Rhinolophus ferrumequinum: one gene and its partners. The protein of the gene in region 3 purifies or fractionates together with the protein of the main gene of each other region. This does not show direct contact. Links are inferred from orthologs where the notes say so. Each region holds a gene or a part of one and is shown on either strand. Other genes may lie near its edges.

Evidence for each region.
Region 1: the proteins of SNRPB (region 3) and DDX20 purify together in Homo sapiens (co-immunoprecipitation; 4 studies listed by BioGRID and IntAct, with this or other methods). This does not show direct contact. The link is inferred for Rhinolophus ferrumequinum from reciprocal best matches to the Homo sapiens genes SNRPB and DDX20.
Region 2: the proteins of SNRPB (region 3) and TGS1 purify together in Homo sapiens (co-immunoprecipitation; 3 studies listed by BioGRID and IntAct, with this or other methods). This does not show direct contact. The link is inferred for Rhinolophus ferrumequinum from reciprocal best matches to the Homo sapiens genes SNRPB and TGS1.
Region 4: the proteins of SNRPB (region 3) and PRMT5 purify together in Homo sapiens (affinity purification with mass spectrometry; 4 studies listed by BioGRID and IntAct, with this or other methods). This does not show direct contact. The link is inferred for Rhinolophus ferrumequinum from reciprocal best matches to the Homo sapiens genes SNRPB and PRMT5.

The regions. Positions count from the first base shown.
Region 1 is NC_046305.1:43,201,730-43,209,633, reverse strand, and holds the start of DDX20 (probable ATP-dependent RNA helicase DDX20), read right to left. Parts: upstream 3,018-7,904; 5' UTR 3,003-3,017; intron 2,819-3,002; 5' UTR 2,771-2,818; coding exon 2,470-2,770; intron 2,069-2,469; coding exon 1,974-2,068; intron 281-1,973; coding exon 112-280; intron 1-111.
Region 2 is NC_046297.1:22,291,815-22,298,682, forward strand, and holds the start of TGS1 (trimethylguanosine synthase), read right to left. Parts: upstream 3,016-6,868; 5' UTR 2,848-3,015; coding exon 2,744-2,847; intron 1-2,743. UniProt on the Homo sapiens protein: Catalyzes the 2 serial methylation steps for the conversion of the 7-monomethylguanosine (m(7)G) caps of snRNAs and snoRNAs to a 2,2,7-trimethylguanosine (m(2,2,7)G) cap structure.
Region 3 is NC_046306.1:24,784,045-24,791,622, forward strand, and holds the start of SNRPB (small nuclear ribonucleoprotein-associated proteins B and B'), read right to left. Parts: upstream 3,023-7,578; 5' UTR 2,887-3,022; coding exon 2,884-2,886; intron 589-2,883; coding exon 437-588; intron 1-436. UniProt on the Homo sapiens protein: Plays a role in pre-mRNA splicing as a core component of the spliceosomal U1, U2, U4 and U5 small nuclear ribonucleoproteins (snRNPs), the building blocks of the spliceosome.
Region 4 is NC_046289.1:73,505,522-73,512,412, forward strand, and holds the start of PRMT5 (protein arginine N-methyltransferase 5), read right to left. Parts: upstream 3,007-6,891; 5' UTR 2,862-3,006; coding exon 2,752-2,861; intron 2,095-2,751; coding exon 1,976-2,094; intron 1,668-1,975; coding exon 1,582-1,667; intron 1,406-1,581; coding exon 1,271-1,405; intron 928-1,270; coding exon 815-927; intron 660-814; coding exon 610-659; intron 408-609; coding exon 244-407; intron 1-243. UniProt on the Homo sapiens protein: Arginine methyltransferase that can both catalyze the formation of omega-N monomethylarginine (MMA) and symmetrical dimethylarginine (sDMA), with a preference for the formation of MMA.

The DNA of each region.
Region 1 (7,904 bases), on a different chromosome or scaffold from region 3:
TTCTAATCCTCAAAATAATCATCACAGTTATCAAAGAGTCTCATATTATTGTTATATTAAAAGTGTTCAGTTCCTAAAAGCCCCAGTTATGAACAGGCATTGATATCTTACCAGGAGATCCAACGGCAATATGACACTTTTTAAGTCTAGTTTTGTCCTGTGATAATGGAGTCCCTCCAATAAAGACATGACACTCTAAGCCTTCCATTTTTATTCCAATGGCTGTGATAACAGAATGTATCTGTACAGCAATTTCTCTTGTAGGAGCCAAGATCAAAATCTAAGAAAACGTAAAATATACCTTTAATGAGTCAGTGGCACATTCATTATACGACGAACTATCTTTCCTTTAAACGATCATTTCAAATGAGCTTTTATGGACAAAAGAAACTATTCCATTCATTTATTCGTGCATTCATTCAACAAACATTAAATAAGTACCTAGGCAACATACAAGTTGCTGTGGAGTCAACAGTTAAGAGTAAAGTCCTTGCTCTCATGGCACTTTCGTTCTTGAATGATGAGAAGATATACAATAAACAGACATATACAAATAATGGCGAGTAACGAAAAGTGCTATGAAGAAAAATCAAACAGGGAAAAGAGAAAGAAGCAACTCAACAAGTTATTTTAAATGAGGTGATCGAGGAAGGCCCCTCTAAGGAGATACCATTTGAGCAGATATCCACAGAGTAGAGCTGGCTGTGTGATACCTGTGGGGGAGTGTTTTCAGGAGGAGGAAACAGCAAATGCAAAGGCATTAAGACATTAGTGTTCTTGGTGGGTCTGACGACCAGCAAAGGGGTCCCTGTGGCCTGACAAATTACACAGGAAGAAAGGGGCAAAGACCTAGCTCCAGGGGCTAGGTCATGGAAGATGCTGGAAGTCAGTGAGAACACTGCAATAAAACTATGGCAGGAGGAAGAGGTGAAACTTCATAGTCTCAACTATGAAAAAAAAAAAAAAAACTATTTAAGAAAAAAAAAGACTAGGAGAAAATATGCCAGAATTGTTAACAGCAGTTCCTCTCTGGATAGGTGAAATTATACTTTGTTTTCTGGTACTTCTTCATTTTTATGAATTTTCCCAATTTTCAAAAATGAATAGATATTACTTTGATACACAAAAATCTTAAAATCAAAAATACAAATTTTATTTATGGATCTTATTCCGGGTTTCGGCATCTGACCTGCTGCCAAATTATCACAAGGCAAAATCTCAAATACATCTCAATTCACAAGTAGGATAGCGCAGGTCCTTGGAAAGTAGAAGGATTTCCTATGGTACCCGGGCTAAAATACACTGTTGAAGAATCATTATCAGATATATACGACTGAGAGCTTGAAACACAGTCTGTCATAATTACTAAACCACAAAGGAAAACTATCAGGATCATATTGGATTCAGCTTTGTATCCCCCATGCCTAGCATACTGTTTATACATAATACGAACTCAGCAAGTTTTTGTTGAATGATCCCCAAACCCAAATCTCCTGTTAATTTGAGTAAGGCCGTCTTAGATCTATGCCATGAGAACCCAGAGCATAGGTCAATGACATTCAGAGTCGTAAGAACCACGGGCAGTTACCAGCAACAGCCAGGGCACCACACCACTCTGAACCAGGCCAAACGCTAAATCTCATCACATTCTTCTGATCAGCAAGTAAAAGAGAATCTCTCCCCGTATTCTCAAGTACGTGATGACAAAACTGACACACATGACAGACATTCTATTTAAGATGCAGTAGTAATAGAAAAGTCCACACTTCTAACACTAAGAATGGATCCTTGATCAGCATCCTCAGCACCACCACTCAATGGCCTTACTGTCTCCTTTTTATACTTTTCATAGGGCTTAACTCAATCATTCACTAAACTCACGGCCTCTCTCTCAGGAGCTACTGGTATTTCATCTGACCTGTGGTAAAATGCACAGAATACCCCCTCCTCTGGGTTCTTTGAGCTGAACTCACCTGGGTACTTAAGTTTTCAAGAACAAGAGAGTCCAAAGCAATGGTGGAGAATACACAGGTTTTCCCAGTGCCAGACTTCGCTTGAACAATTAAATCTGCAAGGGAAAAAAACATTATCACTGGCCAGTACTGACTGTAGAAGCTTAGGTACCAAATAATGAATCACAGAGCTAGAAGGGTCTCCAGAAATCAGCTAGTTAGTTAGCATCTTCGTTTTTCAGTTCACTCTCAGAAACGCATGGCCACGTATCCAGAAATGGGCCTCGTCCCTGAACCTCTACCGTTCATCTTCTCAAACGTGAACCACTTGTCAGTGTGGAAAGAGCCTTAACTATCGTCAAACTCAACCAATACAGCGCCTCCGTTTCACAGAAGAGGAAACTGAGGCTCGAATGCTTGCAGCACCTTGCCCCAGCCTGACCCCGCACTGGGGCCCCTCCCGGGCCCCGCCGCCGCCGCCGCCGTCCCTCGGCCTCCCCAGGGCCCCCGCCCTCACCGAGCCCGCAGCGCCCCAGCGGGATGGCCTTGAGCTGCACCGGCGAGGGCCGCTCGAAGCCGGCCTCCCGCAGCCCCTCCAGCACCGGTCGCGACAGCAGCAGCGACTCGAAGTCCGCGGGCTCGGCCAGCAGCACGTCCCCCGTGCGGGTCCGCGGGCCGCTGACGTCGTGAGCCGTCCGCAGGCTCCGCGCCGGCCCGGGGGTGGGCTCCGGGGCTGAGACCTGGGCCGCCATAGGCTCCGCGGGCGTAACGGTCTCCACGGTAGCCAAAGCCGCTGGGGCTTCCAACGCCGCCGCCATGGCAGCCGCGCCGCCAGATCTCGCGGTACTTGAGGCTGGGCGGGGAGTCTGAGCGCGAGAAGAGGAAAAACTTTATTAGCACGCTTCCCGTGCGGACACGGACAAGCGTGGCCTGGAAGAGGTGGGGAACCGGGGACGGAAGTCGGAGGCTTAGAAAGACTGGGAAACAGCTATACCAACGAAAAATTGTGACCTGCGCAAGGCGGGAAGAGGAGAGAAAAGGGGAGGCTACCGGTGTGTCGCCGCCTGCGGCCTGCAGAGGGCACCGAGGGTTCACTGTGGGGGGCCCGCCTCCAGCTTCTCGGTGGGAGGGTCTCAGCCCTGCGTCCTGCGTCGCCAACCTTACAACGCTGTCATTGTGATGCGCGCAGCGCGTCACGCTCCCGGCCCGCGTGCCTGTGGCCCGCGGTCGCCTTCCCGCGCCCCTTTCCTCTCCTGCTCCACCTCGGCCTTCTCTGTGCCCACAGACAGCGCCTCGAGTATAGCGAGACGGGATTGACACGTGGGCGGGTATCCGTCGGCCCGCGGGACTGCCTGATTCAATTCTGCGTCCCCAGCCCCTAGCAGTACCTGGCACACGGTGAACTCGCATAAAGGTACATTGAATTGGAACCAGGAACGGAACTGACAACTCCCATTAGGTGGATTAAGGGGGAGGCGGAGTACTGGCTTCCTTTTAGTACCACACCTCTTTTATCCACCTAATCCCCAAATCCGAAACCTGGCAGTTACTCTAGACTTCACCTTCTACTATCCCTCTCCCCTAACAATTAACTGAGCGCAGGTAATTTTGTCTCCAAATATTTCATTCATTCATCTTCTCTGGTCTCCATAGCATCTGTCCTATTTGGCCCCTTCATCATCTTCACTATTCCAACAACCTCCTGAATGGTCTCCCTGCCCAGTTTCTTTCTCCCGCCACCCACCGCCCCTTCCCGAACCCCCCACCCATCCCCAGGTGCTGGAGTGATTTTTCTTAATTGGATATCTTAGGTTGTTTGGGTCCAGCTTCAGGTACTGCTCCTTTTGACAATCTTTTTTGTTTCTCACCCTAGGCTCCTATTTCACACTATAAATAATTACAATCTAGCTCTTACCATGTTCTATTTACTTGTTTACATGTCTGTCCCTCACACTAAATAAACTATGAGCTTCTCAATGAAGGGAATATTGTCACCAGAGGCTCTCCAGCCCAGCAGCAGGTCCTCGGTGGACCTAATAAACACTGAATGGCTGACACTTTCTCGCTCAAAAATCCCTGCTGGGTCTCCCTGCACACAGGAGTGGTTCTGTAGAAATCACACCAATCACTGTTGAAGAACCAGCTCTCATATCAAAAGAAACAAAAAGACTAACTTTCCAGAAAAGAATATTTTTTGTTTTAACAGCATTCTGTTATTGCATTTGTTGGTTGTGATGTTTTATGGGCACAAATATTACAGTAATGTTACTGGGAATAAATTGTATGCCATAGCTAAAAACACAAAATCAATAAAATGTTTTCATCAGTAGTTAAAAATTGCAATAATGTTGGTGACCATAATTTTTAGTGCTGTAAAGATAAAACACAAAGGTAAGAGACCATTTAATAACTAGGTAAGGTGTGTTAGTAACATGCACAGAAACCAGGTGGACTGTTGTCTGACTCCCAGCCTCCCCCAGGATAAAATTGCAATGGGACCCCAGCCTCTTTATGATGTTCCGTCTACCTGGAAAGCCTTTCCTCACCTCATGTACCTGGGAGCTAGAGGAAGTAAAGATTCTTAACAGTGACCCTCTATCTTATATTTTTGAAATTTAAACCTCTGATGTAATTCGATTTGACAGTGGTTTGGCTTGGGACTTCTCGAAAGTTCTTTTTCCCTTTCTTTGCTTTCCTCTCCTCCCACCAAAACTTGATGACTCTGTTTACTGTGCATTTACTATGCATACCAGTTCCAATGGTTTTGTTTACTTCGGTCCAGTGTGCAGACCTGGCCTCGTAATTTGGGAGGGGTTTTTGCATCTGTATGGGATTCACTCCTGACCCTGGGGCTGACCAGCCTTTAGGAATCGAAGTTGCCTGGCTAACTTCTTCCTTTGTTCAGCCCCTCCTTGCGTGTCTATAAAACCTTTTGGCGATATTAATAGAGGAAGGCAGTCTTTGTGACAGAGAGTCCACTGTCTTCCCTTAATGCGGCAGTTTGGAATAAAACTTGCTTTGCTTCCCACCAACCTCAACTCTCGAGTTTTGGCTTTCATGCAGTGAGCAGCTGAACCTTTTGCTCGGTAACACTTCCTGTGAACCGAAGAAGTGGGAGTAAGACTTAGACTCAGAATAGATGTTGAGGTTCAAATGGTCCTATCCAATCATTTTGCAGTGGAGGTTTCTGGGCCCAGAGGGAAGGAAAACTATGTACATAAAAGACTAGATGCAAGACACAAGACGGCCCCCCCTGGGTATGAGGATCTGTGGGAGAATGGAAAGGGAAGGAGAGGTCTTTGTAGCCACTTTTTACTCATTTGACCCTCGAGGTAACAAAAGGTAGGCAACGTTATTACTTGCATTCAGTACACAAACATCTCTGTTCATTCTTTCAAGAAAAATCTGAACACCTAATACAAATCAGCCAAATGCTGGAGATACAAACATGGCACAAAATAAACAAGATCCTTGCCCTCAAGGAGAGAGATACATGCAAGTAGGTGGCACTGATCAAGGAGGAAAAACTCAAATAGCACAGGGGGGTGTAAAATCATATGCAGTACTGACATTTTTCAGGGCCTTAGTTGCTCAAAGTGTGGCTGTCATGTGGGGGAGAGTTACAATTTCTGAGAAATTGAGGAAAACAGCTTTTGGTATTCAGAGAACAGTAGCTCATCTGTGCCCTTCTCATCCGCACCCAAAATTAGTGGTTTAAAATGTGCATGAAACTATGAGAAAAACTCCATGCACAGATCCTTCCTTCCCTAAATCCCTGGAGTCCAGTACTTCTGCCAAGACCTGGAGACAAAGCTCAAGTCCCATGAAGCCCTGGGGGCTGATTTTCTGAGCTGGAAGGATAGATAAGGAGTTCACCAGGCAGTGGGGGTGGAAGGAGAGTTTACCATGCAGACCTGTTAGGGAGATATTCTGAGCAAAGGGAACAGTTTGTGCAAAGGCGTGGAAGCAGGAGAAACCATAGTAGTTTAGGGAAGGCAAGATCTTTGGTGTGAACGGAGGCAAGTATGGCTGCAGTTACCAGGAAACCAGGCAGCAGAGATATATTGGTCCCACATGATGGAAGACCTTGTCTGCCACTGTGAGGAAGACAAAATGAGTGTGTTGTGCTCTCCCAAAGAGAGGTAGTGTTACGTAGCAATAAAGAGAAATACAGTTGGAAATGTAGAGTGGGGTTTGAGTTTGGATTTTAACTTGCAGAACATGGAGCATCATGGAAGTCTGGGAACTAATTTGTGGCAGGTAACTGCAAGACCTACTTTACACCTAACATCTCCTGGGTCTTGTAGGTGTCGGTATGTTGCGTTCCAGTGCTACACGGATGCTGCTTATCCAGCAAACAGTGACTGAGCACGTGTTTCTGAGTTCTCTTTCCCTCCTACATTTTTCAGTTTGTCTGCCCAATGGATAAGCCTCATCAATAAACTTAAGTTATATATAAAGTTTATCACAGAATAGAATCTGGCCTTCGGGACAGAATTTGGTGTTTCATGACCCTGCTCAATCCTAAGTGGCTACCTCCCAACCAGGAGAATAACTGTTTCGACATGTGCCCTATGGCCTATGGGGTGATCATATCTTCAGTACCTTTTCACATAGGACTCAGGAGAGGGGGAGACAGAGCAAAGGCCCCCTGCACTCTGTGAAGCCACCTCTCCCCTTGGGGATTTGCCTGGCTGGCTTTCAGACAAGAACCCCAGGCCATCCTCCCTCTCTCCAGACCAGACGCCCCTCTGCCCAAGGCTCACATTGATTAATTGCCCCGTTTAATGCCACAGCCTCAGTCTTTAGGGAGAAAGGCTTCGCGTTTGCTCTTCTTGTGAGACCGGGGCCCAATTCATTTTTGTCCAGGCAGCATAATAAATAACCTGCCCCTGTTGGCAGGGAGTTTATTAGAGACTGATGGGACATTTAACAATAACTGGGGGCCTGTGATTTATTAGGTAGGGAAATTCATGGCATCTCTGAAGACGGAGAATGTGGAATTTAATTGATAAAGCTGCTGTCAGCCGCAGTGAGATGCACTCAATAGAATATGCATTTGAGGGATTCTCTTTGGAGCTGTCAGGACGGGTTTCTGCTAATCACATCCAGCTCCTGTGGGTGATGGTGTCTGCTGGGTATCAGAGAGACACAAATGGCAGGGAGGGGACTTTGAAGGGGGCCTGGGGAGGGGTGCACCTGTTAGTTGCCCAGCCTGATGAAAGAATGTGACACAAATGAGCAAAAAGGAAAAAAAGAATTTCCATCACCGTAAGCAAGGGTTCTCCTTCAAGAGCCCTTTGTCTCTCTTCTGAGAGCTACTCAAGAGAGAAGAGGTGCTGAGCACCAACTTTCGGGAAAAGGAGGGAAATGAAAGGGTTAAATAGCAAGAAGAGAGATTTGTTCTGGAATTCTAAACTCCCTACACCAGTGAGGTTTCTGCACCAGAGATCCCCTGCCTTACTCTCCAGCCCCTGACATTCATATACACACCAAACACACACACACACACACACACACACAGCTACCCCACATCCAAACAGCCTCCCTTGAACCCCTGGTTCAGATTGGCAGCTCCTCCTGTCACTGCTGATTCCATGCCAAGAACAGAGCCACGGAAACTCAGGTGGACGGAGTCTCACCATTTCTTGCTGTTGTCTCCCAGCTCCAGAGACCCCAAAGCCAGGCTGAGCACCTAGAAATACATGTCTGTGGTCTGGCGTGTGCGGAGCATACAGCTCTCTCCTCCCCTTGGCCCACCCTCCACCAAGTTTCCTGACAATAAAGGAGACTGGCTGTATCTCTGAGGGCCATCAGCGATGGCACAGATGATGGCACAGCTCTGTCCTCAGGCAGCCTTGAGCCTTTCTAAGGCAGCTCTGCTCACATTTTCTACTCCTCTTCACCCCTCAGGCTGTGGCTCAGCTTTAAACAAGGCAGAGGGGCTTTCTG
Region 2 (6,868 bases), on a different chromosome or scaffold from region 3:
ATAGTTCTTGGAAATTTCTTAAGTACAAATAGCAATTTCTCTACTGCAAAAGGGCTGTGGATTAGTTTCAAGTATAATAGTAATAAAAGGAAGTCCTTTCTGAAAGTGCCGAAATGAGATCACAGAAATGTTATGTGACTTGTCCAAGGCCACACAGCTGATTATTGGTAGAGCTGGGATGTGAAGCCCAGATAGATATTCTGCTCCTAAGGACAATATTCTTTTAAATTCTGGCTCAGGAACTTGTGGGAAAGGACATATCCAATGATTTTGTTGAGTTTATGATTCTTCTGTATATGAAAAACCAGACATCACCACTAGACACTGTCACATAGGTATGACCAGAGATAAATTCAGGCTCTTCAGTTTCCGCAGCAGTTCTCTATCTCAACTAAAATACATTATGTTAAAGTATTTTAACGAGTCACCAGTGTCAGTGACTTTAGACCACTTAAATACCTTAATCAGAAAGATTCACTTATGTTCTAGACAAATTAAAAGACCTCCAGGGCTGCCACTTACCTGACTGGGATTTTTTTTTAAAAAGGCCATTATTGAGACTACGTTTTCTACTAGAACAAAATAAAGATTACAAGACATATCTCAGGGTGTTGCTGGGATGCTTACATGGGGAAAAAAACAGAATGAAGTGTAAAACAATTAGTGCCTGGCACTCAGCAAGTAGCTTTTATTAAAAAAACCTGCCAATTATAAGTGGATATTTTTTAGTTTTCAATTTGCTTGATATTGCATCAGCTTTCCAATGTACTCCTTTCTTCAAACATTTGGTGACAGTATACTTGAGCTTGTCTTCTACCTTTTCCTCCCCTTTTAATCTTCACAAAATGTTGGAATTCCTCAAAGATGGATCCCACTTCTTCCCAACCCCCGCCCCAAGTGCTAAATCAATGGCTTCAATGACTATACTAGAATGGCTCAAGGTTTTAAGACTTCTCTAGAGCTCCAAACCAATATATTTAAGTACCTATGACATTTAATCTTGGATATCTGATAGCTACTCCAAAATCAAAACACAGTAAGTTGATTATCTTTTTATTATCTTCTGCTATACCCCCCAAAACCCATGACTCACTAGTGACCCCTATCTCAGTGAAACACATCAATATAAGCTGGAAACCAGGGAGTTACCCTTGACCTACTCTCCTCTTTCCCATCTTTTACCTTTCCTTCATTCCCCTACATCCAATCCAATCCCCTAAACTCAACAATTTCTCTCCTATATTTCCTCCTTTCTCCATTTCCACTGCCACCAATCCTTATCCACGCCACGATAATCTGTTGCCTGGAAAATGGTTTTTTTAAGTGGTTCTCCTTCTCTAAACCATCCCCCACCCTGCTGCTAGAGTAATCTTTAAAAACGTAATGATCATTTAAAAATGATCCCGTCCTCCAAAAAACTCTGCATATTTTGATCCTGCCTACTTCATTAACCCTATTTTCTATCTACTTCATGAACCCTATCTTCTGTCTTTCTTTCCCAGTCATTTTGTTTTATTTTCACAGGCTTTCTTTTGCTTTCTCAAGGCTTTCAGAGAGTTCTGATTGGGGAATGCTTCCTCCATTAAATAAACATATCCCAGTTTATTTCCATTCACACTTTAGACCTCTTTTCAAATGCTACTGTACTTCCTTAAAGAAATCATTGTCATCTGTGGAGAAAGGTTAGGTTTCTGCCACCACAGCATCCTGTACTTCTCTTCCATAGCACTTATAACTATAATTAATCAGATAATTATGTAACAGTTGTCTTAATATTGATCTCCTTCTCTAGAAAGTAAATTCAAAGGGTGTAGGGACTGGCTGTGTCTTGTACCCCCGTGCCTACTCGTACATAATACAAAGAAGCACAACTAAGATTTGTTGACTGAATGAATACATGCATACGTGAATACAAAAATGTCAATACTTTCACATAAATATAACATAGTGTTTAATTTCTATCGGATTTTCAGATTACCCCACAAAAACAAATGATGAAGCACTGTTTCAAACTTAAATTCTACTACATTAAGCTACATTAAAATTCACTTCTACAAGTTGAATCTAACAATAAGCCTGTGAGATGATTATGGTAAATACACCTGTTTTAGAGATGAGCAAAAATTAAGTGGCTGAACTCACACATCGAATATAAAGAAAACAATCCCTAGAATATAATTCTTTAGGCAGTTTTCCTACTCACTAGTTATCTTCCATGCATGAAAATTTTAACCCAAAACATATATTTTCCAAAGATAAAGACTGCTCAAAAACGGATGTGATTAGTTAAATCTTTTACCTTAGGTAATTACAAGTTCTATGTGTGTGCTTTTGCGCTTTAATAAATCTTAAGGTTTTAAAAATGACGATAACCAACACAAGTTACTCATCTTTCAAACCATCACCTTGTGATGTCACATCCATTAACGAGATTTCATTTTACATTTCACTTTCCCCCAATTTTAAAATGCCCCTGTATTTACAATGAAAATAAAATTACATATATAAGCCACCACATTTTTTTCCTAACAGCCTACAAAGTAGATTTACTCCTTCACTTAACTGCAGTAGGGGACCACTCCGTAAAGTCTGAGGACTTTTACCCCTTTTTCTTAAACATCACCTTGCCTAAGGGTCAAATACTCTGTCCGTGGTTCCAGGGAGCAGTTACAAATAGTCTGCAACACCTACATTTCTGGGAAATGATCGTGCTAGAAAGGAAGAGGAAGACGTTTTTACTTACTCCACAAACGCCCTGGAGCAGAGGCAAAGGATTTTATAATCCTCCTCTAGGTCTTCAATGAAGAGAATCATTTCAGCCACGCGGCTCCACTTCTCGCAGCACATTTTACCACCTCAGAGGAGGCAGCCCTGCGGTAAACGGCACGGGACCGGCCACTCGGCCTCTGCTGGGTTATTGGAGACCGAAAGCAGGCCTCGCCGGCGCGCCCCGTGGTGTAGGGTGAGGAACGGAGATGAGGTCGTTCCCGCCTGAAGCGAGCTGGAGTAACTAGAGCAAGCTACGGAGCCTTCACCGGAAGTGGCTCGGGGAGGGGCACAGGAAGAGGCGGGGCGACGGGCGGTGTAACGCTCAACGCTGCTCGGGCTGCAGCCGCTTTTTGGCTTTTTCTTCACCGAAGGTTGCTCGCGAAAGTAGGCCGCTCACATTTCTCCGCTTCCCTCGGCTGCTGAGCCATCGAAGAGCTGCCGCCGCTGCTCCAGAGTGAGGGCGAGCCCCCTCTGCCTTCTCCCGCCCGAGGTGCGTCGGTCCCTGCTTTGATCTCCACGCGCTCCTCCCTCCCGGGGGCGCGTCAGTCGCGCGGGGCTGTCTGTGAGCCGCGGAGGCCGCGCGGCTAGTCTCCCCCGGGCTGCCCTGGAGTACCCGGCTGGAACCGGCAGGGACCGGCGGGCTGGGTTTCCCGCCGGCCTCGGCGTTTGGCTCCGGCACTCGAGTGCTGGGGAGGGGAGGCCCTGCCTGGGTTACAGCGATCCGGTTCACCTCGCTCCGCATCTCCTCTCGCCGCTCAAAAACACTCAGTTCGGAGTGTTTCACTTCTTAGTGTTGGAGCGAGGAGTCTTCATCCTTACTAGAGGCCTCTGGGCTTGCCCAGTGTGACCCCCCTGATCCCGGGCTTAGAATCGACCCTACTGTGTATGAAAGATAAAAGGATATCCTGTGGTGGTCACGAGTGTAGTTGAGAGGCCGCGTTGGTGGTGGTTAAGTGTGCTCGCATTCAGACAAATCAGACATGGAATCCTGGTTTATGCCCCTTTTACTACCTTTGTGACCCGGGCTAGCGACAACCTTTCTGAGCATCATTGTGATCATCTGTAAAATAGGGATGATTAATAGTACCTGTTCCCCAGGGCTGCTGAAAGGACTAAATGAAATCGTAAATGAAAGGACTAAATCCTACCTCATATGTGCTATTAATAGTTTGCGTGGGTACATTCTTTGTAAGCTCCAGGCACTGTTGGTCCCCCCGGGTGTGCAGCCTGTAAAACAGGTCTCTGCCCTCAAGCGGCTGATTAATAAGAAAAATACATTTGCACATAACAAGGGTGTCGAAAACTGGAACACCACGGCTAGATTTGAAAAAAGCAGTGTTTGGTGTGGAGTGTTGGTTGAGACCACTCAGGCAGCTTCCTAAAAGAAACACGTTCAGATTCGAACGTCGGCGGAGCTCTTAGGACTCGGTTGGTGCTATTAATGCCGAAATGGCATTGGTATGTCTTTAGAATATTTAAAAACCAGGGTAAAAATCTAGATATTTAGAACAGTCGCTAATATTTTGACTGCATTTACTAGCGAGTGGAATGAGAAGATTAATTTTCAAATACGTTTATTCCAACATTCTTACTGCTGCCTTTTATGTCAGATAAGCTCATTTTAGTGACTCAGGAAGTTAAGAGTGCTGCACAGTTACATATACCTCAGTGTAGATGTGCAACATTTTTGGGATGAGGATAGGTTAAGAAAATAATAGTAGAATGGTAATTAACAGAGTGGAAGCTTTTAGCTGGAAGTTGAAGCACATTCTAGGGTTAAAAAAAATAACCGTGAGAGGTGATTTATATCAGAACCTATAGTTTAAAGCTTGAAATCTAAAAGGTATTGTTTTAAAGATAAAGTGATTGGGTTTGCTAGATATCTTTTAACTGATAAACTTCAGCTTTATTGATTGTTTGAAATCGAATGCTTATCACTAAAACTGAGTACTAAAACCCCTGTTAAGCCATTATTAAATATAAAAAAAGTAAAAGGGGACATTAATTTATATTTCAGCAAGTGTTACTTTTAATTGACATTGTCAGCATATTATCAATGTGGCTCATGTACTAAAAGTAAGAAATGGATCTGCTACCATCATGGTGGTAAAAGTACGGTATAGTGTTTAAAAGTAGATTTACTTCCTTAAGGTTTTGTAGAAAACAAACAAAAAATCCTGTGTTCTGATTTATTAGTTTTTGAAATATTCTGATTTTAAACGTCTGTAAAGTCAGTTATAGTAAATGTTCCTCACCATCAGTATCAATGTGGTGATATTTCAACTTGTGAACTTTTTCTTACACATTATATTAGTTGCAGATGGGAAAATTAAGCTACTTTCTATGTGATGCATAGGTTTGTGTTTTATTGTAGATTTTTTTTGATAGGAAATAATGTGGAATTTTTGGTAACTAAAATGTTATATCTCCCCCAAAACACCTTTTAACAACCATAGTTTTTATTGGATTAAAATAAAGTGGTAGAGTCAAGAACAGAACAGCCTGTGGTAGATTGGAGGAGGAGAAGGGCCAGGCAGAAGTAGAGGGAACACAGAAATTGCAATCTTAATATTTTCAGCCTTTCTGTCAGAGAGAGGGAGAGATTAAAGAAAATGTAATGAAAACCAGAATAGGAAGTAGGAGAACTAGGTTTTAATTTTGGCTCTTGGTTTTTCAGTGAATTAGTTTGGTAACTTTGGGCAAGTCAACTTGGCTTACTGTTTGTTTGTTTTTTTGGCTTTCTGTTTTCAACTTTTGTTTTCTAAAAAATTAAGAGGTTGCGTTCATTGAGTTCTAACACATTTTCTCACATTATCAAAAGTATTTTAGCAACTCAAAAGCTTGTTATTCAAACTCCTTTGTTAATTCTCTAGTAGCAAGTTTTAGGGCACTTCTTGGTCCACATTTTTGTCAAAGACTTGGATAAACACAAGTTTAGATCTATCTGTATTTGGCTGGTGTTTGTGCCTACTATGTACCAGGCATATTATTCTCAGTGCTTTACCTATGTTTTCTCATATAATCATCTATTTGTTTACTGATGCATCTCTTTTTCTATCCCTTTTTGCAACAATATTCCTTTGAAGAGTTGTCCATATTTGTGGTTTCCAATTCATTTACTCCCATTTTTTCTTGAACTTATTCCACCTGATTTTCATCTCCACTGTTTCAAAACAGTTCTTATTAGGGCTTCCCAATGCCTCTTTGTTGTAAAATCCAATGATCATTTGTCATTCTTTATCTTACTGGATCTCTGAGCATCATTCGAAACAGCTAAATACTCCTTTCTTCTTGAACCACCTTATTATTATATCCAGGATGCCGCTCCTGGAAGAAGGATGCTGGTTCCTCATTGTCTTCCCAACTTCTAAAATGTTGAGTTCCCCCAGGCTCAGTCCTCGAAGCTATTTTGTATTCACTCCCTGGAGCAAGGGTGTCTAAACTGCGGCCCACGGGCAAAGTGGGCCGCAATCCATTTTTTATTGGCCCACAGCAAATTCCAAAAATATATTTAGTTTACTTAAATAAACCAGGTGAGGCCATATGTACTTCACCTCGAGTGAGTGGCCTGGCTGTTTGTGTATTTTACCGAATATGGCCCTTGGTGAAAAACGTTGAAAAAAGTTTGGACACCCCTGCCCTAGAGGGACCTTATTTAGTTTTGTGGTTTTGGATATTGTCTATATATGTCGCCAGTTCCTACATATATTTCTCTCGCCCTGATCTTCCTGCTAAACTCTGCTGATGTCCAGCTGTATGTTTAACGTCTTCACTTGGATGTCCAATAGAAACTTAACATGTTCAAAACTGAATTCATGATCTTCATCCCATCCCCAAACCTATTCTTCCTGAAACTCCATCTTTTCACAAGCAAGCAGGTAATATGATGATGATGACGATGGTGATAGCAATACTTAGTGTATACATAGTGGGAGGCACACTTCTAAGCTTTTTTTATATAAAATAATCACAACAGTCTTATTAGGTAGGTACTGTTATTACCCCCATTTCATAGATGGAGAAACTGAGGCAGAGAGGTATTAAGTAACTTGTGTAGGTCAAACAGTAAGTGGCAGAGCCTCCCAGGATACAAACCCAC
Region 3 (7,578 bases):
AGGGAGCTGAGCACTTACCCTGAAGAGGGTCAGAGGCTTCTTAAAGCAGTTTCAGACCAGGCTGCATTGGGAAAGCCCTTTAGGCTACAGCTTTACAAATAGGCACTGAGGCCAGAAAATCAAGCTCTCCCCCCTCACACACCTGTGGGGAGAACATGAGAGCCCTTTACCCCAGTACCCAGGGGCACAAGAAAGTCAGAGAAACAAAAAGCCTAGCAGCTCTCCTTACAACTTGTACTCTGCTACAACTACAGAACAGGCTTGCTGGGCTAAGGAAGGCGATTTCTTAGTGACCAATGTCCCCATTTAAATCTGCCCTCTCAACCAGGAGAGCAAACAAACTGACAGAAACCAGCTAACTACATGACCTGTCACTTGGCCCACCCACCCAATCTACCCCCCTCCCCCAAATCCCTCCCCACAGCCCACTCCTCACTTGATCTTCCTGAATTCATCGCAGTCACATAGGATCAAATTCATGTGCTTGTCAAAAGCCTTGAAGGTGCCAATGAAGATACGACCGTCTTGCAGGATGCACCTCATCCTGTAGTCGATGTGCTGCAGCATCTTGCTGCTCTTGCCCACGGTCTGCAAGGAGAGATCAGTGGGGATGACACTCGGCTCCTTGGGACCCACATATCCCTAGCCCTTCCTCAAAAGTCTGCTGTGGCCTTCTTTGCCATGTGTCTGTCTTTCTCAGTAGATTCTCAGTTCTGTCTTCCAGCCACAGCCCTTTGCCAGGAATCCTCCCGTGTCACCCCGTGTTCAGCCCTGACCTCTACCCACTACTATTATTCTCCTCCCCTTCAAATCATTTCGTATTACAACTGCCTTTGTTTAGGCTGTGTTTCAGGGGTGAGTGCAGGATGTCTCCAAACTAATCCAATCCACCCATACGAGATTAGTCATCTGCCACTGTGGATTCTAGGTGTGTGACTCCAGTGCTGTCACCCACATCCCATTAAAAAGACTGAGGAAAGAGCTGGAATGGGACTGGCACTAAAAATCCAATCAACCAGAAGCTTATCAGAAAGGAGCTGGTCAGCGTGGAGGTGAGAATGCAATCCCCAAATAAGTGTGCCTCCAAGACTACCTTTGGGAGGAAAGCTTTCTGGTGACCAGTGTGCTAATCAGTTTGAACACACATGGTCTTTAAGAATATGTAACTCGCTACACGTCTTAATTAACCCAATAATCTATTCTGCTTTATTACTTGGATTCCAGTATAGCTTTGTTAAAATAGACTATATACACATCACAATGCAAATTGTCAGGTGCCCCTGGCAGTTATAGTTCTCTCTAGAAATAAATGCCCTGGCATTTGATCCGGGTATCATCAGCCTCCCATCAGTGAATGGTGTGGGCCAGTCCTAACTCATCCAAGTGCCTTCAAATGCCAGGCCTGGGTATGCTGTTCACTTCTGTGAGCTTGGACAAGAACGGGTTTCTGAACCCACAAATGTGTGGATCAGAATCTTGACATTCACCCTGGAGACCCAGGTTATATGGTTCAGTCTCTCTTAGATGACTCTTATTTTTAACTGGCAGGTAATCACACAGCTTCTGGCCACAAAGATCTGAACCTTTATGGCAACATTTTTTGGTCCACCCAGCAACAACCAACTCTTACTGGGTGCTCACTGTATACCAAGAACTGTGATAAGCACTATGTATCTCATTTAAATCTCAAAATCAGTCCCATTGTTCCTAGTTTACAGATGAAGCCACTGAAGCTGGGAGACAAAATTCCCCCAAACAGTATCCTGCCAGGTTTCCCTGCTTTCACTTCACCCTACACAGAACAGCTACAGAACAAAGTAATCTTTCTAAACACAACTTAAATTCATGTCATTTTGCTCCTTACAAGCCTTCAACGACACGCCTCATCACCAGCAGGATTAAGCAGAATGTAAGCCTTTTAGTAACCATCCTCCTGCCAATTCCTCCCAGCCCCACTTCCAGCTCTTCCTTTCCCCCTCCAGCAACTTTCAATAGTGCTACCTTTCATGCTTTGCTCTCGCATCCTTTCTTATCTATAATGTCCCCTCTCATTTTCGCTGGGAAAACACCTAACAACCTTGTACAATTCTGCTCAGGAATCCTCTACTCCCTACAGCATTCTTACCCTGCTCGCCTCCCGCCATTACTTTCACTCAATGCTTTATTACCACTCTGAATTCTATTAGGTTGGTGCAAAAGTAATTGCGGTTTAAAAGGTTAAGTTGCAGAAACCGCAATTACTTTTGCACCAACCTAATATTACCGGTGTCTCCAACTACAAAGTCAACTCGGTGTAGGAAACATTTCATTGTGTAGCCCCAGCGCCTGAAAAGTCCGACGTACTCATACATACATGCTGAAAAAATGAGTTCAACTCTTCCTCCAAACATTCTCAGTCACCCTACCGTTCCCGCCACCGACTAGATCCAAGAACACTCCAGTTTCGGCCGCAAGCCCTTGCACTTTTTCCGTAACTGCTCAGACCCTCACTCCCTTCACAAGTCTGAGCCTCTTAGTAGGTCTTCCTTAGTCCTCCTGCGGCTCTAGTGCCTGCTCCGAAAACCCCGGAACACATTTCTTCTACAAAAGTTTACTTAGTTCCTACAGGATCCCAAGTACTGTGGCTACAGCGGCGTGGAGAGCCGCAGTTCCATCCTCGCCCCCACCGAGCGACCCCGGCCTTCCCCCTCAGTGCCAGCCTTCCCCTCCCCCAACCCGCCGAACGACCAAGGTCTCGGGTCTTTAGTGCCCTGACCGAGCGGCCGCGGCCCGGGCCTTCATCGCCATGAGCGGCCAAGCACGGCCTTCCCCGCCAATCAGTCCCGGTCCCCGCCTGAACAACAGACTCGGAAGCTCCCGCGCCTCCAGCCTGCGCCTCCTCACCATGGTGGCGGTTCTGATGGCTTGGATTCCCGCCGGATTCGCCTGTGGGGAGGCCTAGAGGGCCTCCAGTCGCCAGCTTCCCGCCGCCGCTACCGGAAATACGTCCGGGAGCAAAATGGGTTCGGGTAGAAAACTACTTCCGGTCCCAGAGCCCTGCCCTCGCGTTCCGCCCACCGTGCGGAAAAGGAATCTTAGAGCGGGGCGGGAGGTTGGGCTGGGCTTGGGCAGCGCTAACCAAACTGAACTCGGTTAGTTTAGGATTCTCCTTGGACCCCTTCGTGCAGGAGCTGCTCCTGCACACTGTCATCCCCCGGCCCGGTCCGTTAACTCTCGGTCCTCATCTCCCACTACTCTACCCCTGCTCTCTGCTCTATAGCCACTGTCCCGACTTTTCCGTGAACTTGCTGGACGTGCTCCTGCCTCAGCACCTTTGCATTTGCTGTTGCCTGTCTGGAATGCTAGTGGTCCAGGTACATTCATAGCTCATGCCCTCAACTTCAAGACTTAAGTTCAAATAACATTTTCCCACTGAGGACTTCCCTGGCCATTCTGTTTAAAATTGCAACCTTCCCACCCATCCCAGTTTTATTTTTCTCTTTAACACTGATCGCTAACATACTATTTTTTTTTGTTAGTTATTTTGCTGTCCCTCCCTATTAGAATGTAAGTTCCAACGTATGATTTTTTGTGTGTATTGTTCATTGCTGCAGTGCCTAGAACACTGCTTGGCACAAAATAAAGGCTTAATAATTATTTGACTCAATCAATCAATCCCATCCAGTCCCATGTCTTTTGAATGCTACCTATAGGTTCAGGCTTTTTTCAAATCTATTCTTCTAACCCTGGTTTCTTCATTTAACGCCTGGTCTTTTATATCCAGCCACCTGCTTCACATGGATGTCTAATAGCCATACTAAATTTAACGTTGAAAACTGAATTCTTGATTCTATTTTCTTCCCAATACCACTTTCTACCAGTGTTTCCCATCTCAGAAGTTTCTTGGGTTAGAAAACAAAATGACAAATTTGGTAGCATCCTTGATTCCTATTTCTCTCCCTTCTCATAAACAGCAAATCCTATGTGCCTCACCTTCAAAATGTCTTGAATCTGACTGTTGAAACGAGTTCCACTGCTACCACGCCAGTCCTAGCCACCATTATCTCTGACTTGGATCACTGAATGAGCCCCTAACTGTTCTTTGCTTCCTCTCTTGCTCTCACAGCAGCCAGAGGGATTCTTCTCTAATGTACTGGGATTTTATCAAATGATGTCATTGCCCTGCTCTCCACCTCCCAATAACTTCCCAGCACACGTGGAATAAAATCAGCCCTGCATCCCTCTCCAACCTCATCTCCTTCAACGTTCCCCTCATTCATCACAGCCACACCAGTCTCTTTGCTGTTCCTCAAAGCCAGCAAGGAAAGCCTCCACCTCAGGACCTTGTCATCCTCACACCATCCTAAGATGTATATTCTGTTGTCCTGTTTCTGTCAACCTGTAGAGGAAGAGAATGGAGGCTCAGAGAGATGAATTATCTTGCCCAAGGTGGCAGCATCAGAACAGACATATGGTACCGTCTGGCTCCTCAGCTGCTCCCAAATTACCCTGCCTCTTAACATATCACTGATGCATGCATTTTAAAAAATATTTATTTAGCACCTACTAAGGCCACGCACTATTACTGAGATACAATGTCCCTTCCCTGAAGGAGTTCATGTTTTAGTGAGAAAGGCAGACAATAAACCAAATGAATACATTCTAGAAAGTAACATTAGAGTGATATGAGAAAAATAAAGTGGGGAAGGGGGACTGAGAGTGATGAGTTGTAATGTTGGCTACATGGTCAGAGGAAGCTTCTCTGAGGATTGGCACAGGAGCAGAGACCTGAATAAAGTGAAGGACATTCCAGACATTTTTTATCAAGGGGATCATATAATATCTGCGGTCTTTGGTAACTGCTTTTTTTCACTTAGCATATTTTTAAGGTTCATCCATGTTGTGCCACATATCAGTACTTCATTTCTTTTATGGCTGAATAGTATTTCTTTGTAGGGATATGCCACTTTTGTTTATTCTGTCATCAGTTGATGGACATTTGAGTTGTTTACACCTTTTAGCGATTATGAATAATGCTGTTTTAAACACGTGTGCAAGTTTTCATGTAGACATATGCTTTCATTTCCCTTTCATGTATACTTAGGAGTGGAATTACTGGTAACTCTGTTTAACTGAGGAACTGCCAGACTGCTTTCCAAAGTGGCTGCATTATTTTACATTCCCACAAGCAGTGTATGAGGGTTCTGATTTCTCCACATCTTCACCAACGCTTATTATTGACTTTTGGATTCAACCATCCTAGGCGTGTGAAGTGGTATCTATCCAACTGTGGTTTTGATTTCATGTCCCTGGTGACTAATGATGTTGAGCATCTTTTCATGTACTTATTGGCCTTTTGTATATCATTCTTGGGTTATGTATCTTTTCTGATTGAGTTTTATGAGTTCTTTATGTATTCTAGATACAAGTCCCATATCTCATATCAGATATGATTAATAAACATTTTCTCTCATTCTGTGGGTTGTCTTTTCACTTTCTCAATAGTGTCCTGCACAAGTTTTTAATTCCGTGGAGTCTAATTTACCTTTTCTCCTTTTGTTGCTCATGCTTTTGGTAGTATTATCTAAGAATCCTTTGCCAAATCCAAGATCATGAAGATTTAGCCATGTTTCCTTCTCATAGTTTTAGTTTTTGTTCTTACATTTAGATCTTTGATACATTTTTAGTAATATTTATATACAGTATAAGGTAAGGTTCAAACTTTACTCTTTTGCAGGGAGCTATCCAGTGTCACAGCACCACTTATTGAAAAGACTATTTCTTCCCCCATTGAATAGTCTGGGCACCTTGTGGAAAATCAGTTAACTGTAGACACGTGGATTTATTTCTGACTTTTCGATTCTATTCCATTGATCTATATGTCTATTCTTATGTTAGTATCATTGCTTTGTAGTAAGTTTTGAAATCAGAAAATGTGAGTCCTCCTAATTTTTCTTTTGCCAAATTATTTTGGCATTCTGGATCCCTTGAAATTCCATGCAAACTTTAGAATCAGCTTGTCAGTTTCTACATATAAGAAAAAAGGAGTCATGGATTCGAGAGCATGAAGTTAAATAGATTATTCATTTGGCTTTTGGTAAAGTGCTCCCAAGGTTCAGTCTAGATCAGGGATCAGCAAACTTTTTCTGTTAAGGATCAGATAGTATTTTAGGATTTGTGGGCCATATGGTCTCTGATGCAATTACTCAACTCAACCATTGTAGCATGAAAGCAGCTATAGATAATACATGAATGTGTGCCTGTGTTACAATAAAACATTATTTATGGACACAAACATGTGTCACAAAATATTATTATTATTTTGATTATTTTCAACCCTTTAAAATGTAAAAGCCATTCTTAGTTCACAGGCTTTACAAAAATAGGTGGCAGTCCAGATTCAGCCTTCAGGCTGTAGTTTGCCATTCCCTGGCCTAGCGCATTAGATTTCTGTGTCTGGATTCAGGGCCGTAGCCTCACTTTCTATTAATAATAACTTTGACTTGAGTCATTTCTTTGGCTTATGGGTTCATTGAATAAATGCCATCAAAAGTTCATGTCTTTGCCCTCATATAAAAACTACACACACACATTCACATCTGTATCAATCTAGGTCCAATAAGGAGACAAAAACCACACAGTAAAAATTTAAATGGGAAATTTAACATAAAGAATTATTATGCAATGATAGGAGAGGAACTGTACCTATTGAAAGAAAACCTTTAGCTGAGGGAAAGTACTAAGGAAGGATAAACCTGAAAGGAAGTTTCCCTCCCCAAGGCTGGGGTTCAGCCCTCTTGGAGGTGTAGTCACAACCCACTGGGTGATGGAAAAGTTGGGTTAGTGGGTGCTTTGCACAGGCCAGAGCTGGTCTACAGTCAACCGACAAGCAGGAATAACCTTCTGGAATACAGGCAAGCCAAAGCTGGTAGGCAGAAGGACAAATCGAGTTGAGTATGCAGAGAGTAGGGAGTTAATGTTGACACAAAGCCTGGATCACACAGTGTCTGTGTCTGAAGGGCCTCGGGCTGATGGGCACTGCTGGAAATGGAGGCTGAAAAGCTGTAAGAACCTAATGTACTTCTGTGCACGGCTTAGGCTGGGGCAGCTATGGGTAGCTGTTGGGACCCTGGTGCACATGCACATGGAGTTGAGAAGAGGATCTGGGGAGCAGCACCCAGGCTGGGGAGGCCCTGGGCCTCTCCATGGGATTAAAATCAGGTGATCTGCTTGCCAGAAAGCCAGCCTAGTGGGGACCCAGGGTGTGTTTCCTGGGGGCTGAAAAGAGGGTGAAGGAGCAGTAGCCTAGGCTGGGCACAGGCCTGTGCTCTTTGGACGCCCTACTATGCCACCACTGCCTAAGAGGTGGAGAAGACAGAGTGGCCAATCGGTGGAGGAAGCTATGTCCTGTAGGCACCTAGCATGGAGAAACTGTGCTGGCTGACCAGTGGAGGAAAAGGGGGTACTCTCCAGGAGTCTGGTGAAAGAGCCAACTGAACCAAGAAAGAGGAACCCTTCCTCCTGCAATGTTGCTCCAGAGCTTGCTCATGCCAGCTGGCAAAGGAAAACTATTTAAAGGGCCCAGATCCACTTTCACAG
Region 4 (6,891 bases), on a different chromosome or scaffold from region 3:
ATCCTCACTGTAACTTCTTAAATGGAACCTTCTGCAAAGTTCTCGTAAGATTTGGTTCCTATTGAAATGTTTCTGGGGCTCCTACTGCCATTTGTCTTTTCCTCTCAAGACTCCCAACTTTGCTGAAATTGCTCTCCAGAACCCAGAGAGGAAGAGTCAGCCCCACAGGAAAAAAGCATCATACATGTGGGAATAAGGCAAAAGGATTAGTTGGAGCACTTTTAGAACCCTTCTACCACCCACCTTCAGGAGCCGGAAGATCAGCCTCTGGTGCATCTTAGAAAGAACAGGAAATCCCTTCTTATTGGTCAGGAAAATGCTGGTGGGGAGAATGGCTGCTTTGATGGGCTCCCCAAGCCAACGATCAATGACATGATTAGATGGGAGGTCAGCCCCAATTTCAAGAGCTACACAAGGGAAAAGAAAGACCTGTCAACTACTGTTAGGAAAGAAGCCTTTCCTTGCTCTTTTGCGCAAGATCTCTTTACTCCTTACGAAGCACAGAAAAACAGCAAAATTGCCCAGCAGCCGAGTCTACATGAAACTCCTGATTCTTATTCACAGGAAGTCAGAGAAGGAATACCTATCCTAAGACCCCTGTGGACTTACCCACTGCAATCCTCTTGCTATAGTCACACAAGGTCCGGAAGTTGTGCCACCTGTCCAGAGTCAAACACAGAAAACTACAGTCAAATACATATGGCTCACCAATAACCATAGCCAACCCTACCAAGGAGGCCAACCCTACAGGTTCCACCTTGTACTTCCCCTCACCCTACCCTTTGCCTTCGTACAGCAGCAAAAGGAGACATACCACATCCACGTCTTCTCATCTCCACTGTACTCCTCTGTGTGTGTAGTTGGTGCATTCTCGATTATATCATCTCTCAGGTCCTCTGGTGCCACCAACGGTACCCGCATCCAGAACTGTACATGAACAAGTACTCTATTAAAACTCAGTGGGTCCAGAAAGCTTCCTTCAATTAAAATATCTCGATCCAGATCTCAAATTAACCCCTTTATATGCATTTGCCAATTTATGATTATATGTATGTTCTTATGTAAATATGTCTTGTCCCCTATTCCAAGTATAAATTTGTATAAATAATTATATATTCTTTATATTTTATAACTCCCTGCTCGCTACTTTTAAACAGGGGTAGGCAGTACTGACATTACATTTCTACCAAATGTACCCTTTACTGAATGGCTAGGAACAAGAAGGCTAACTACTATAATATGCAGTAGGAAAAGAGGCCCTCAGCCGTACCATGGAGGAGTGGTGGCCAGTGTGGATGTGGTTAGTCAAAACTCTGGCCAGGTTTGTGTTATCTTCCTGATTTAGGGGCAGCAAGAAAGCTGGAAGACCCAAATATGCTCCAAAATTCAGCTCTTGTAACATGGCCTGGAATGGAGATTAAGAGGAAAAGTTTAAGAGCTAACAATCCATATAGCTTTAATTGCATTATTATATCAGAGTTACTGAATTACAGGGGTGGGGGGGAAACCTGTTCTACCCACCCAGCTTGGTTACAGACCTGATCTTTAGAAAGATCCAGTGGAGAGGTCAAACAGTCTTACCGCCTCGGAGTTCCTGCGGATCTTCTCCACTTTTGAGTCTGGACGAATCCATGGAGAAAGCTTTCCCACAATTAGCGTATTCCAATCTGCACTCCCCCACCCAAGAAAGACAAAGACTGAATGAGGTTAGGCACTTTACTTGTTTGATTTCTAGTTCTTAAGAGGGAATAAAGTAGAGATAAGAGAAAAACACTTTTTCTATCATAGACACAGAATAGCCTGATGCAGATTAGGAAACTAAGGCTTTTAGCAGGTAAGCAAGGAGAAAAGAGTTATCTGTATCCTAAGGACTAATCAATATATCTAAGTCAGGAAAGGAGAATGAGGGCACTGATAAAGAAGAAGTTGTTACTGCCTCTAAGAATAATTAAGGGGCATATGGGATGGTCCCTACCCCTTCCTGACAGCAGTAGGTCTGATCGTGTCTGGGGGCCCGGTCGATTCTTAGCAGGTTCCTGAGTGAATTCCCTCTTGAAACGCGGGTGGAAGACAGGCATGCAGAGGAAATCAAACCTACAACCGCGACAGACCCAGAATTGTCATGTAAAGAGAGCAGCAGTGCCCAGAGATCCAAGCAACTGGATTAGGCTATCTGGATTCTGCACAACCCTTTCAGCTGCCATCATCAGTCAACCGACTGGACTGCTGAGTTCAGCTCATGTTGGGGCATATCACTTCCCCTACACTGTGCCTCAATTTCTCCCCAAAACACAACCACGGAAAACATGAGTAAGGTGAAAAGATGAAATGCAAACCAAGTAGATTTTCTACTCTACTATCACTGGTTTCCCAGGACTGTCACATCCAGATCTGCCCCAGTACTACCCATGCCTCCCCCACTCAAGGTTTATCTCTTCGCTCCCTAGCCCCGTAACACTTCCTCTCACTCTCAGACAATACACTCGCTCTCCAGGGCCCTGGAGGTCTGTACGCCCCCTTTTTGAGTTTACCTGACAACCCAGACTTTTAGGGTCAGAGACCACACGCCCCCAGTAAGTTTTTTTCTGACGCTCCAGGGCCCGAAGCTTCTTCCCTCAAGGAGTACGGGTTTCTCCCGCCCTCATCTTCTCCACTCCGACCCCCTCACCCCTGACTCTCGGGGATGACTAGTCTGCCCCTCTCCGTCGTCGAGTTCAGAGCCGCATCCCGCCCGGAATCCCAGGCCCTCACCCCTGCTTGGCCACAGCCCCCAGTGTGTCAGCTATTTCGGGAACGCAATTCAGGTCCCTGCCGCTGGACACGCGGCTCCCACCAGCACCTCCGACCGCCATCGCCGCCATCTTTTCCCTCGCGCTGTCCACGCCGGGATTTCTTGATACTAGCAGCCAATCATAAAGCCAGGAAAAAAGCCCCCGGAAGGCGGGACGAGTCGCCCTAACAACCAGAGCGTCTTCCACGGCTTCTCAGCGGAGAGGAAGGATGGGGAATGGCTCTTCCTGCCAATCCGCGGGCTGTACAGTGACGTGCGGCGTAGCTCCGGAATATCCACCAGTCCCAGGGTCTGGTTCTCTACGAGTTTCAATCTCCCATAATACCTCGTGTTATTCGTAAAATTTCGTTAGGGGACTACACGTCCCATGAAACCCTGCCATATAAGCTTGAAGTATCATCATCGAGGAGTCTTCAATTGTCTCAGGGCCAGTGGCGCAATGGATAACGCGTCTGACTACGGATCAGAAGATTCCAGGTTCGACTCCTGGCTGGCTCGTGTGAGGCAAACGGTTAATTATTGCAGCTCGTGCAATACGGCCGTGAACACCAAGTTTTAGATCTCATTACACTTTTTAAAGTTTCCTCATTATCTTCTCACGCCATTATTTTCAGGTCTAAATTTGATTGAGTTCTGCAGCCATTTTATGTCAGCTTCTCCGTTACCTAATTCGAGGGTGGTTCTTGTGTCACTACTCAGGTCTATGAGCCCTGTGAAAACTGGATTAATGGCTGGTGCTCTTAAAAGAGGCTTTGTGTGGGCCTTAGTATGTTATATTTGTAAATACATTGTGGCAACTCAGCTACTAATTCCTCGTGATTCTATATCTCAAACACAAAATGTAAATAAACACACACACACATTGTGGCAACTCAGCTACTAATTCCTCGTGATTCTATATCTCAAACACAACATGTAAATAAACACACACACACGCACACACGCGCACACACACACACAAACACACACACACACACCCGAAGATAGAGAAAAGGAATTCATGGTAAGCAGTTACAGTAGAGGAGTCATAAACTGCCAGGCGGAGGCTTCAGAGAATTTATACATTTTCCTTTGTCAGTACCTGCTAGAGGGAGATCTCTACATTTTCCTTTATTAATACCTGCTATAGGAATGGAAAAGAAAGACAGGAATGAAGAAAGGAAAGACATAGGGAGGAGAGCCCAGAAGTGTTCAGGGTCTGACAGAGAAGATGGAAAGGAGAACACGGTACAAAATGCCCTAAGCAGGAGGCGTTGACAGAACTTAGGGACCGACTGGCAGGGAGCCGTGAGGAAGAGAAGTCACGGTGATGCCCAAGGTTCTGATCTCTGTGTGGGTTAGACAAGCAACGAGAGAAGCCGATTTAGGACAATCCGGGTTTGGGTCTGGAAATGCTGAATTGGACGCCTAGGGGGCGCTGCGTAATAGAGAGTTAGATGAACAGTGACCTGAACCAGACAAGATTTAGAAATCGCCAGAAGAGAGGTAGTGACTAAAGTCCCTAGACTGAATGAGATCACCCTGGCCTGTGGGGGAGAAGGTCCTGGGAAGTACGGAAGGGTGTGTGTAGGATAAACTCTAAGGAGTCTTGGGTGCAATGTAAATGCCCCAAAAGGGTAAGAGTCCAAAAGCCAAAGAATTAAAAGGTCTGCGAAGCTTAAAGGGGTTGGAGGTGCTTTTGTCCCATCTTAGTCTTCATTTGACTCCTGCAGGTATTAGTATTATTATTAGACTTTATTTCTTAGACTTGTTTTAAATTTACAGAAAAATTGAGCAGATAGTACAGCAAGATCCCATATGCCTCGCCTCAGCTTTCTCTTTTATTAACATCTTAACATTGGTATGGTATATTTATTACAATTCATGGACCAGTATTGAAAACATTAATTAAAGTCCATGGTTTATTCAAATTTCCTTACTTTTTACCTAATGTCCTCTTTTTGTTCCAAGATCCCATCCATAGAGGATACCTTATTACATATAGTTGTCCTATCTCCTTAGGCTCCTCTGTGCTGTGACAGTTTCTCAGATGTTCCTTGTTTTTGATGACCTTGAGAGTAGTTTTTGAGGAGTTTGAGAAGTCTGGTCAGATATACTGTAGGATGCCCCTCTATTGGAATCTGTCTGATGGTTTTCTCATGATAGGCTGAGATTATGGGTTTGGGGGAGGAAGATCAGAGAGGCAAAGTGCCATACATATTATCGACATAATTTATGACTGTTGATATTGACTTTTATCACCTGATAGAAGCAGTAGTAGAATTACACTCTCCTCTCCCCTACTTCCATCACGTACTCTTTGGAAGGAAGTTGTTATACCATGTGTTTCCCACATTTAAGGAGGGGGGAGTTATGCTCCCCTTCCTTTAGGGTGGAGTATCTGCAATATTTATTTGGATTCTTCTCTGAAGGTCTTGTGAGTAGGTGGTTGTCCACCTGGAGTGAGTGAGTGTTCCTCTGACATTTTAAGAGGTAAAAAAAAAAGAGTTGTTGAGGAGGCTTGCTTGTTCTCTGCCCCAGCTGTGCCCAACCAAACTCTGCGTTCACAGAAGACTTAGTAGATGTTGTTTCTAATTATCTGGGTTGTGGACCATCTGTGCTTCTGGCATCTTCCTCCTGATGTCAAGCTGGTGGCTGCTCCGTTGGTTGTTAACTAATCCATCCATGGGTGAGAGGGAGAGAGGAAAATCTATAAAACAGTAATGTCAGTTTTGCCATCAGTTAAAATAACTTTCATCATAAAATAATTTTCAAAAGAATTTGTGTAAAAAGAGCCTAGAATTTCTGACTGACCTTAAAGTAAGTTTAGATGGGCTGGATTTCATTTGTCTGTGATGTCTTTGATTTTTCATTTAAAATGGCCTCAGCTGTATGGCAAGCATAATGCTGAATAGTTCCCAGTAATTCCATTCCACATTGCTCCCCGCCTTTCATACAGCACTTCCCTTTGCCTTAAAAAAACAGCATGTACTATAGGTCTGCCTATATGAGCTATAAGAGAAGCAGAAGGAAAGGACTGAAAAAGAAATAGAGAATCTTGTAAAGGACTCTTCCCAGGCATAAAGTCAAAGCTAGTGAAGTCTATCTATGCTCTGCTTCCGTCTGCTTTGCCCTCCATGCTGAACTCTTGTGCTCAGAAGCATGTGAATCACTAGATGTAGGCCTCGGCTGGGACGAAGAGAGAGAGATGGTAGGACAAAAGGGTAAATACCCTGCGTAAGAAAGAATGTTACTTACTCCAATAGGAGCCAGTGACCAACAGGCCAGAGCATTGGAAACTTTCCTGGAAAGGAAGGGGTACTCACTCCCCAGATCCTCCTCCAATGGGCCTGCCAGCATTCCTCACCTTCAGGCCCAGTTCTTCTAACTGATGCTGTTTCTAGGTGCTTCCAGCCCATTGTAAACCCTCCTTTCATCTTCCCTTGTGCTGCCCTCCTCCCTCAGCACTGGCCTCCCTCCCGGGGACCACCTTCACTCACCTCTGTGCCTGCCCAGCCAGTCGCACTCTTCAACACCAAAGTAATGGCCCGCTTGACCCTCCTACTGGTTCAAATTGCTGCTTCACAATCAAGGCTGTCCTCCAGCCGCAAAAGTGGCAGAGTTACTGAGGCAAAATAATCTGTGTGATTTGCATTCTCTTCTTTGTCATCTCTATTATACAGTATTTATCTGTCAAAATGGATAGAAAGTAAAAACTGTTTTGGAATACAGAAAAAGATGGAAAACTACCCAGTTTGTTTATGAAGCCAGAATACACCTAATATCAAAACCTGTCAGAAATAGCATCCCTCACTCACACACAGAAAAATAACCTTATAGACCAATCTCACTTATGAATATAAATGTAAAATACTACAATATTTCAGATTAACACATAAAACTCAAGAGTGCATTGGCATAATAATTATATACCACAACAAATTAGGGCTTATCTCAGGAATTTACACAAGGTTAGGTATTAGAAAATTTATTTATATAATAGATCAAAAATAATCCAAACAAGAAAAACATTTGATCATTTTTAAGAGCCACCAAAGAGAACATAAGTTAATTTCATTTTCTATAAACATTCTTAATAGTCTTAATATTCTTCATGTATA